Ovis aries: one gene and its partner. The protein of the gene in region 2 purifies or fractionates together with the protein of the main gene of each other region. This does not show direct contact. Links are inferred from orthologs where the notes say so. Each region holds a gene or a part of one and is shown on either strand. Other genes may lie near its edges.

What was found. Proteins that work in one complex are often made in the same cells at the same time.
Region 1: the proteins of PLD1 (region 2) and ARF1 purify together in Homo sapiens (affinity purification with western blotting; 3 studies listed by BioGRID, with this or other methods). This does not show direct contact. The link is inferred for Ovis aries from reciprocal best matches to the Homo sapiens genes PLD1 and ARF1.

What each region holds. Positions count from the first base shown.
Region 1 is NC_056058.1:2,770,252-2,774,123, reverse strand, and holds ARF1 (ADP-ribosylation factor 1), read left to right. Parts: upstream 1-2,093; coding exon 2,094-2,241; intron 2,242-2,315; coding exon 2,316-2,426; intron 2,427-2,515; coding exon 2,516-2,640; intron 2,641-2,792; coding exon 2,793-2,954; downstream 2,955-3,872. UniProt on the Homo sapiens protein: Small GTPase involved in protein trafficking between different compartments. Modulates vesicle budding and uncoating within the Golgi complex. In its GTP-bound form, triggers the recruitment of coatomer proteins to the Golgi membrane.
Region 2 is NC_056054.1:216,595,132-216,598,984, forward strand, and holds part of PLD1 (phospholipase D1), read left to right. Parts: intron 1-914; coding exon 915-1,032; intron 1,033-3,021; coding exon 3,022-3,246; 3' UTR 3,247-3,853. UniProt on the Homo sapiens protein: Function as phospholipase selective for phosphatidylcholine. Implicated as a critical step in numerous cellular pathways, including signal transduction, membrane trafficking, and the regulation of mitosis.

The sequences.
Region 1 (3,872 bases), on a different chromosome or scaffold from region 2:
CTGAGGATGATGCTTGGCCAGGGCCAGACCCCACCAGAATTGCACCTGCTCTCGGTCCTTTACTTCTTTATTGGTAGTGACTTCAGAAATAAGCTGAGATAAATACGCGTTCAGTTCATTCTGTTTTCCATAATTTATCATCCTCTATATTTAGGAAAAGTGGTTGTCTGCCGAAAAGGAAATACCATAGTAAAGATCTTTTTTAAATGTTAATTTTATAAATAGGTAATATTATTCAAAACCAAAAAGAACTTTAAAATGTTGAAAGAGCACTGAGGCCTGCTAGAAGGGGCTCCGCTGGATGCCCCTAAGGCCATTGGCGCATCTAGGTCACAGTGGGGCGGCGGTCTGACCCACTGAGCAAACTGGGAATTCCCAAGCTCACACCGTGTCAGTGTATGGAGGAGAGAGTGCTGGTTCCTTGGGTAGAAGGCTAACTAACGCTGGAAGGAATGACTGTAGAAAACCACCGTTAGAACAGTCCTGATGGCAGTAATTCAGCCAGGAAATGTCAGCATGCTGAAACTAGAGGGTGGAAGCTGGATGAGAAGCGGAACGTGTACATAGTCCCCAGATGCTCCCTGATGGCTAAGGCAGAAAGGGGCTTACGATGGAGACCTGGCAGCTCCACGTGAGCCTGTCATCAGAGTTGACGTGGGGTGGTGGGGGTCTGGGGCACAACCCCTACGTAGAATGGAGGGGGGAGTGCCTGTGGCAGGCCCGTATCTGCGTCCTCCGTGGAACTGGCCTCTTACCCAAGCAGTATCCATCCAAAGTTCAAACACTGGGAAGCTCATAGTTACTTCTGGGAGGTTAGGTATGCAGGGCAAGACTCCTTCCCAACCTCAACAATAGCCTCCACCAGCACCCTCCCAGTGATGAGGTGTGAGCATCTCCCATCAGCTTAGAACAAGCTCTCTGTGGTTGATTTGGTTTTCTGTCAACACTCGCACAGAATCTGCCCAGTTGAAGGCTGCTCAGCCCTCCACAGCTTGACTTCACCTTAGGTGCTAAGTCCAGATTTCCTAAGCATTTGAGAAAGTGACTGTTTTTTTCCTAAAGCCCTGTTTGGAAATAAAATAGTTGAAGGATGAATATACTGAGTGTGGAGAGGCCATATGTGGGTCTTCCAGTACAAGAGATCCCCACCTCTGTGATCACTCACCCCTTCCTGCAGGTCTGGGTGTCGGGGCCTGGGCTCGGACCTGGGGTCCAGTCAGCTCAGTGGCTGCTCCCAGTCTGCTCTGCTGAGTGAGGCGAGCTGGCGGGGGGTGGGGGGCGGTGCAGACACAGCGCTCGTGCGCGTCTGCACACTCGTGCGCTTCTGCACACTCGTGGCTGCACCGCGCAGGCCACCTCTCCGACCAGCGCTGACCACAGGTCTTGGCAAGGTGCTCCCTAACGTGGCCATGCTGTGGGCTCACCCTTGGGCTGAATACTCTTGGACTGAGCAGCAGGTGTGCTGCTCTTGAGCCCTGGGTGTTCTCACTCAGCCAGTCCTGCCTGCAGGGTGTGCTGAGCTCTCAGCATGTTGGGAAGGGCTGGCTCCTGGTCTTGGCCAGGGCCCTCCTAGGTTCTCAGGTGTTAGTTGTCTTACCATTGAACTCTGCTTCATCGAGACTTGGGGCAGTTGGGAGACATGGTAGGGCCTTGAAGTGGTTGTTTCTGGCCCCTTGAAGAACTGTGCATTAGGTTATGGAGAGCCTAGCGTCCATTTGAAAGCCACACTACTGCACCCCAGAGTGGCGGGTTGGAGGACTTAGAGGTAAGGTGCCCTCAGGCCTTGGCTATAAGTTCCTCAGATGATGGAGCAGCCGCTTCACATTCCAGTCAGCCTTGTTCTAAGAGTCCCATATGCTGCCTTGTTAGGCTGATTTAGAGGCTCAAGAGGTAGGTGGGCAGGACCGTTTTCTTTTGGATAGGAACCAGAATTTCATCAGCTTGTGAGAGGAGCAGCTGCCTCAGCCTGGCTCTGGGTGAGCGGTCTCTGAGCTGCTCCTGCTTGCCTGGCCCTGGGCAGCACAGAAAAAGACCCCAGGACTCCTTGTTCCTGCAGGTTTCTCTGGCCAGTGTTGCCCCCACCGGTGTGCAGCATGGGGAATATCTTTGCAAACCTCTTCAAGGGCCTTTTTGGCAAAAAAGAAATGCGCATTCTCATGGTGGGCCTAGATGCTGCGGGAAAGACCACCATCCTGTACAAACTGAAGCTGGGTGAAATTGTGACCACCATTCCCACTATTGGTGAGGACGCTGGGCCTTGGGAGGCTGGGAGGTGGTGGTGGCCCTGGGGATAGGCTCACCCGGCTCTCTTCCAGGCTTCAACGTGGAGACCGTGGAGTACAAGAACATTAGCTTCACTGTGTGGGACGTGGGCGGCCAGGACAAGATCCGGCCTCTGTGGCGCCACTACTTTCAAAACACACAAGGTATGAGTGAGCTGCCCCGTTACACGCCTCAGGAGTGGGGCTCGGGGTGTCCCGGGTGCCTGCAGTCACGCTTACTGTCCCCTCTGCAGGCCTCATCTTTGTGGTTGACAGCAATGACAGAGAGCGTGTGAATGAGGCCCGCGAGGAGCTCATGAGGATGTTGGCAGAAGACGAGCTCAGGGACGCCGTTCTGCTCGTGTTTGCTAACAAACAGGTACGTGTGACTGAACACCCTGTGTGCCAGTGGGGGTGCACGTCAGGCAGCCAGCCTCTCAGGGCTGGAGGTCTGACTGGGGGGCCACAGGTCAGGTAGAAAGGGTTCCATGCACTCCCCCTGACCCACGCCTGCTGTGCTGCCACCCCCAGGACCTCCCTAATGCCATGAACGCGGCCGAGATCACGGACAAGCTGGGCCTACACTCTCTGCGCCACAGGAACTGGTACATACAGGCTACCTGCGCCACCAGCGGGGACGGGCTTTACGAGGGACTGGACTGGCTGTCCAATCAGCTCCGGAACCAGAAATGAGCTGTCATCCTCTCTCCTCCCCTCTCACTCCCTCCTTCTACCCTCGCTTTACTCTCATGTGGCAAACGTGCCCCTGTGGTGTGAGTGCCAGAAGCTGTCTCCATGGTCGGTCACAGTGTGCTTCACCATGCTGTAAATGTGCAGACGCAGCCTGCAACTGGGTTTTTATTTAATGTAAATAGTTTTTGTTTCCAATGAGGCAGTTTCTGGTACTCCTATGCAATATTACTCAGCTTTTTTTATTGTAAAAAGAAAATCAACCCACTGTTTAGTACTCAGAAGGGATTTTAGGCACACGGGTCATCCAGGAGTTGTGTGTCAGACGAGCCCAATACTCCTCCTCTGGGCTTTAGGTCTGTGTTGAGATCCATTTTGGTGGTTGGTTTTTAACCCAAACTCAGTGCATTTTTTAAAATAGTTACAAATACAAAATAAGGAGAACACTTGAACACACAGAAGGGAGAAATGTGCCTAATGTAGGTTCTGCGGTGACGGCCTGAGTCCAGTCCACCGGTGGTCTGTTTCCCGCTGGGAACATGAAGCGGGGCAGAACCAGCCGTGATACCCATTCTGCATGGTCACAGTAGGGTCCCTGTGATTCGCTCTGTCTCGGGTCCTCCCACCCCCCGTAGCGTTTGTGCTTGTATTTGTGCATACGTGGCCGCCCAGGAGATGGGGTGGAGGCTGCAGCCGCCGTTCTCAGACCCCTTGGAAGAACCCCGGCCTTTTCTCGGGTCAGCATGGGCACTTTGGTTGGAACGCCCTGGCTGGAGCGGGAGGCCTGCAGCCCCCCTGCTTGCCTGCTCCGGGCTCTCTGGGGTCTCACCAGCAGGAGTGCGGGTGGTCATCCTTGAGCCCCAGCCCCTCAGAGCCCCTGTCTACATGTGCTTTCACTCCCTCAGCCTGCAAGGGTCAGAT
Region 2 (3,853 bases):
CAAGGACTCTCTTAGAATGAAGTGAAGGTCTTTCTTGACTAGTAGTTAAAACTTTCAAGCATTATAACAACTTAGGGTTTTTTGTTTTGTTTTGCAACTTAGGATTCTTTTTTTCATAAAGACACACACTTAGTCTTTTTTTGTATATTTATTTATTTTTAATTGGAATATAATTGCTTTACAATATTGTGTTGGTTTCTGCCATATGTCAACATGAATCAGCCATAGGTATACATGTGTCTCCCTCTTGACCCTCCCTCCCACCTCCCACCCCTTCCCACACCTTCAAATTTTCACAGAACACTGGTTTGAGTTCCTCGAGTCATACAGCAAATTCCCACTGGCCATCTATTTTACGTACGGTAATGTGTATATTTCCTCAATTCGTCCCACCCTACTCTCTCAACTCATCTCACGTGCTCCCTCCCCTACATGTCCACAATCTGTTCTCTGTCTTCATCTCCATTACTGCCCTGCAAATAGACTCATTAGTACCATCTTTTAGATTCCATATATGTGTGTCAATATATAATATTTGTTTCTCTCTGACTTACTCCAATCTATATAATAAGCTCTAGGTTCATCTACCACATTAGAACTGACTCAAATGCACTCCTTTTTATGGCTGAATAATATTCCATTGTATATATGTAACATTGCTTCTTTATCCATCTGTTGATGGATATCTAGGTTACTTCCAGGTCCTAGCTATTGAAAATAGTGCTGCAATGAACATTGGGGTACATGCTGTCTTTTTCTCTTGTGGACACATGGCTTCCTTTAATTTCCTTTTGAAAAAAAAAAAAATAGGCTTGTATGGTTGAGTGCCTGAATTACTGTACCATTTGAAACAGTGCCTGCAAACAAACTGCTTTTGTCTCAGTTACTCATTCAGGAGGACACTTATATTTCAGGGTTGTTCTCGGCTATCTTTCTGGCCCCAGTGAAGACATTCAGGATCCAGTGAGTGACAAATTCTTCAAGGAGGTGTGGGTTTCAACAGCAGCTCGAAATGCTACAATTTATGATAAGGTGAGATTTTCATATCCTCCTCCTTTTTAAATTGAATCACATCACAAAAGTATATCATTATTTCTGCATGTTATTGGTACAGAGTATTCTTAACGAGTGTAAAAACACAACATACCTCCAAATTATAATCAAATAATTCTTTGTAGACATTAAGAAAACAGAGTCAAAAAGAGCCATGGATTATGGTTTAGAAGAGACTTCAGTGGCATTCTGGTCTCAGATTCCAGAATCCCATCATGAGCATCCTTAGCAGGTGGTTACCCAGACTTTGCACATGTCTAGCAATAAAAAGAAAAAGCAGATGGGATCAAAAAATGAGTCAGACCTGGGTTCAGCCCAGCTCACACAGTTGCTGGTGGCATAAGTATGTGTATAGTAATTTCATGTTCTGAGCCTTCCTTTCTTTCCTCTCTTATAAACTGGAGGGAATATTCATGAGGTGGTCATGAGGATAAAAAATAATCTGTTAAATGTATTTAGTACATAGCACATGGTAGATTATATCCATTCTAGTGACGAAGCTTATTAATAATGAGAAACTCCCTCATTTGGACAGTTGTAATTTTGGAAAGGTGTTTTAAAACCAGCTTCATCTGTTAGGGAAGCCAAATGCTTCTTCTAGTACATTCCATCCATTAGTGATGACAAAGGGTGTGCAAGAGTTAAGAGTCCCCCAACCCTGGAACAGGTTATGTCGTGAAGTAGCTAGCTTTCCATCACAGAAAATATTCAAGCTGAGATCCATTGACTCTATCATGTGACTGTCTATCATAAACAGGATAAGAGGGCATTCTTCTGACTTCCAGACTCCCTTCAGCACAGAAAATTCATCTGTGAACACAAAAATTCATGTTTCTAATGAAACAACAATTACCTACATAGACATATTTCATACTGAGGACTCAAGGCCATGATTAAATAGGTCATGTGTGTGGAGTATTTTTAAAATGCAGGGCACAGCCTAGTTTGGATCCTGGATTGGGAGGAGTAACAGCTCTAGAAGACATTTGGGGAATAATCAGATCAATCTCAATATGGGCCATATCTTAAATGACATGAAATTGATTTTCTGAGGTGTGAGAATGGTATTGTGGATACATAGGCACATGTCCTTATTCTTAAGAAATGCATGCTGAGGTATTCAGGTGTGAAGTGTTATGTGAAACTTATTTTTAATTAGCAAAATACATGTATAACTGATAACTGTAAGTATAGGTACTGACATGAACATTTTTCAAAATAAAAAGTTAGAGAAAATATACAATTTTTCTTTTAGACGTGAACCTCCAGTGAAATGCAGGGATGATTATTATCCAAAACAATTAACCTTAAAGCGGGCTATCACTCATGAATCTCCTCACCACTGGGTTGACCTTATCCTGTGGTCGGTCACGGGATAATGCAGATTCAACATGCATGTGTGCGCTGTCACTCAGTCACGTCTGACTCTTGTGACCCCATGGCCTGTAGCCCACCAGGAGTCTCTGTTCATAGGATTCTCCAGGCAAGAATACTGGAGTGGGTTGTCATGCCCTCCTCCAAGGGATCTTCTCTACCCAGGGGTTGAGCCCAGATCTCCACCATTGGCAGACCAGTTCTTTACCACTAAGCCACCTGGGAAGCACCCCTCCCCCATAGATCAGATATAGGATCTATCTTTTTTTTTTTTTTTTCCCCATACTGCATGGTATGTAGAACTTCTCCAGCTAGGAATTGAGCCCATGCCCCCTGCATGGAAACTCAGAGTCTCAACCCCTGAACCACCAAGAAAGTCCTCTATGATTTTTTTTTTTTTTTTGATGGAAGCAAACGTAGGATTCTCTGTAGCAAATAAAAGAAACAACCCTTCAATCAGGTCTGTGATATAACATAAAACTAATATATGTTTCATAAAACATAGGCTTTGTCTGTCAGAATGAGTATTTTCCAGAAAGGGGATATGCTTTCTTTTAAACTTATCACTCAGTTTCCTATTTGCATTTTAATCAGGTGTTCCGGTGCCTTCCCAATGATGAAGTACACAATTTAATTCAGCTGAGAGACTTTATAAGCAAGCCCGTATTAGCAAAGGAGGATCCCATTAGAGCTGAGGAAGAACTGAAAAAGATCCGTGGGTTCTTGGTGCAATTCCCCTTTTATTTCTTATCTGAAGAGAACCTACTGCCTTCTGTTGGAACCAAGGAAGCCATGGTGCCCATGGAGGTCTGGACTTAAGCGTTGTGCTTGTTCGCAGCTCCGAGACTTCCACTTGGAAGAGTACACGTCACATTCGGACTTTCTGGAGACCCAACAGACAGACCCAGACCCAGAGCACACATCCACCCCTTGGATTGCAACTTTTTGGGTTAACTTGGAAGGGCTGCCGTCATACTGATGTAAGGACAGTGAACATCGGCATGGCTTTATAATTCCTCATGCCTCTCCTTGTGAAAAAGGGACTGCATTCTTAGGTAGCATATACCCAACAGCGTCAACACATATTTCAATTCCGTGATGTCAACACGTGTTTCAATTCCGTGATGTATACCAAAGTGCATTTTCTTTGCTAACAAGAATTTATCTGTAACTGATCTATGTTGCCAAAAGTTGTCTGAACCTCCTTAATTTCCTCTGATCCTCACACATGCAGCTGTTGTTTGCTGGACCTTGTATCCATACAGGTTCTGTTTGACAGTGTTTATTGCTAGAAGATGTTGTGATGCTGCTCTGAGATTCTTGAAGGTTCCATGGGATGCTCTGCCCATCTGGTCCTAGAGTCGTGGTGTGTGCCCAACCAAGGATGTGGTCCTTCTTCCTTTCCAGTGACTGAAAGGGCTGGACA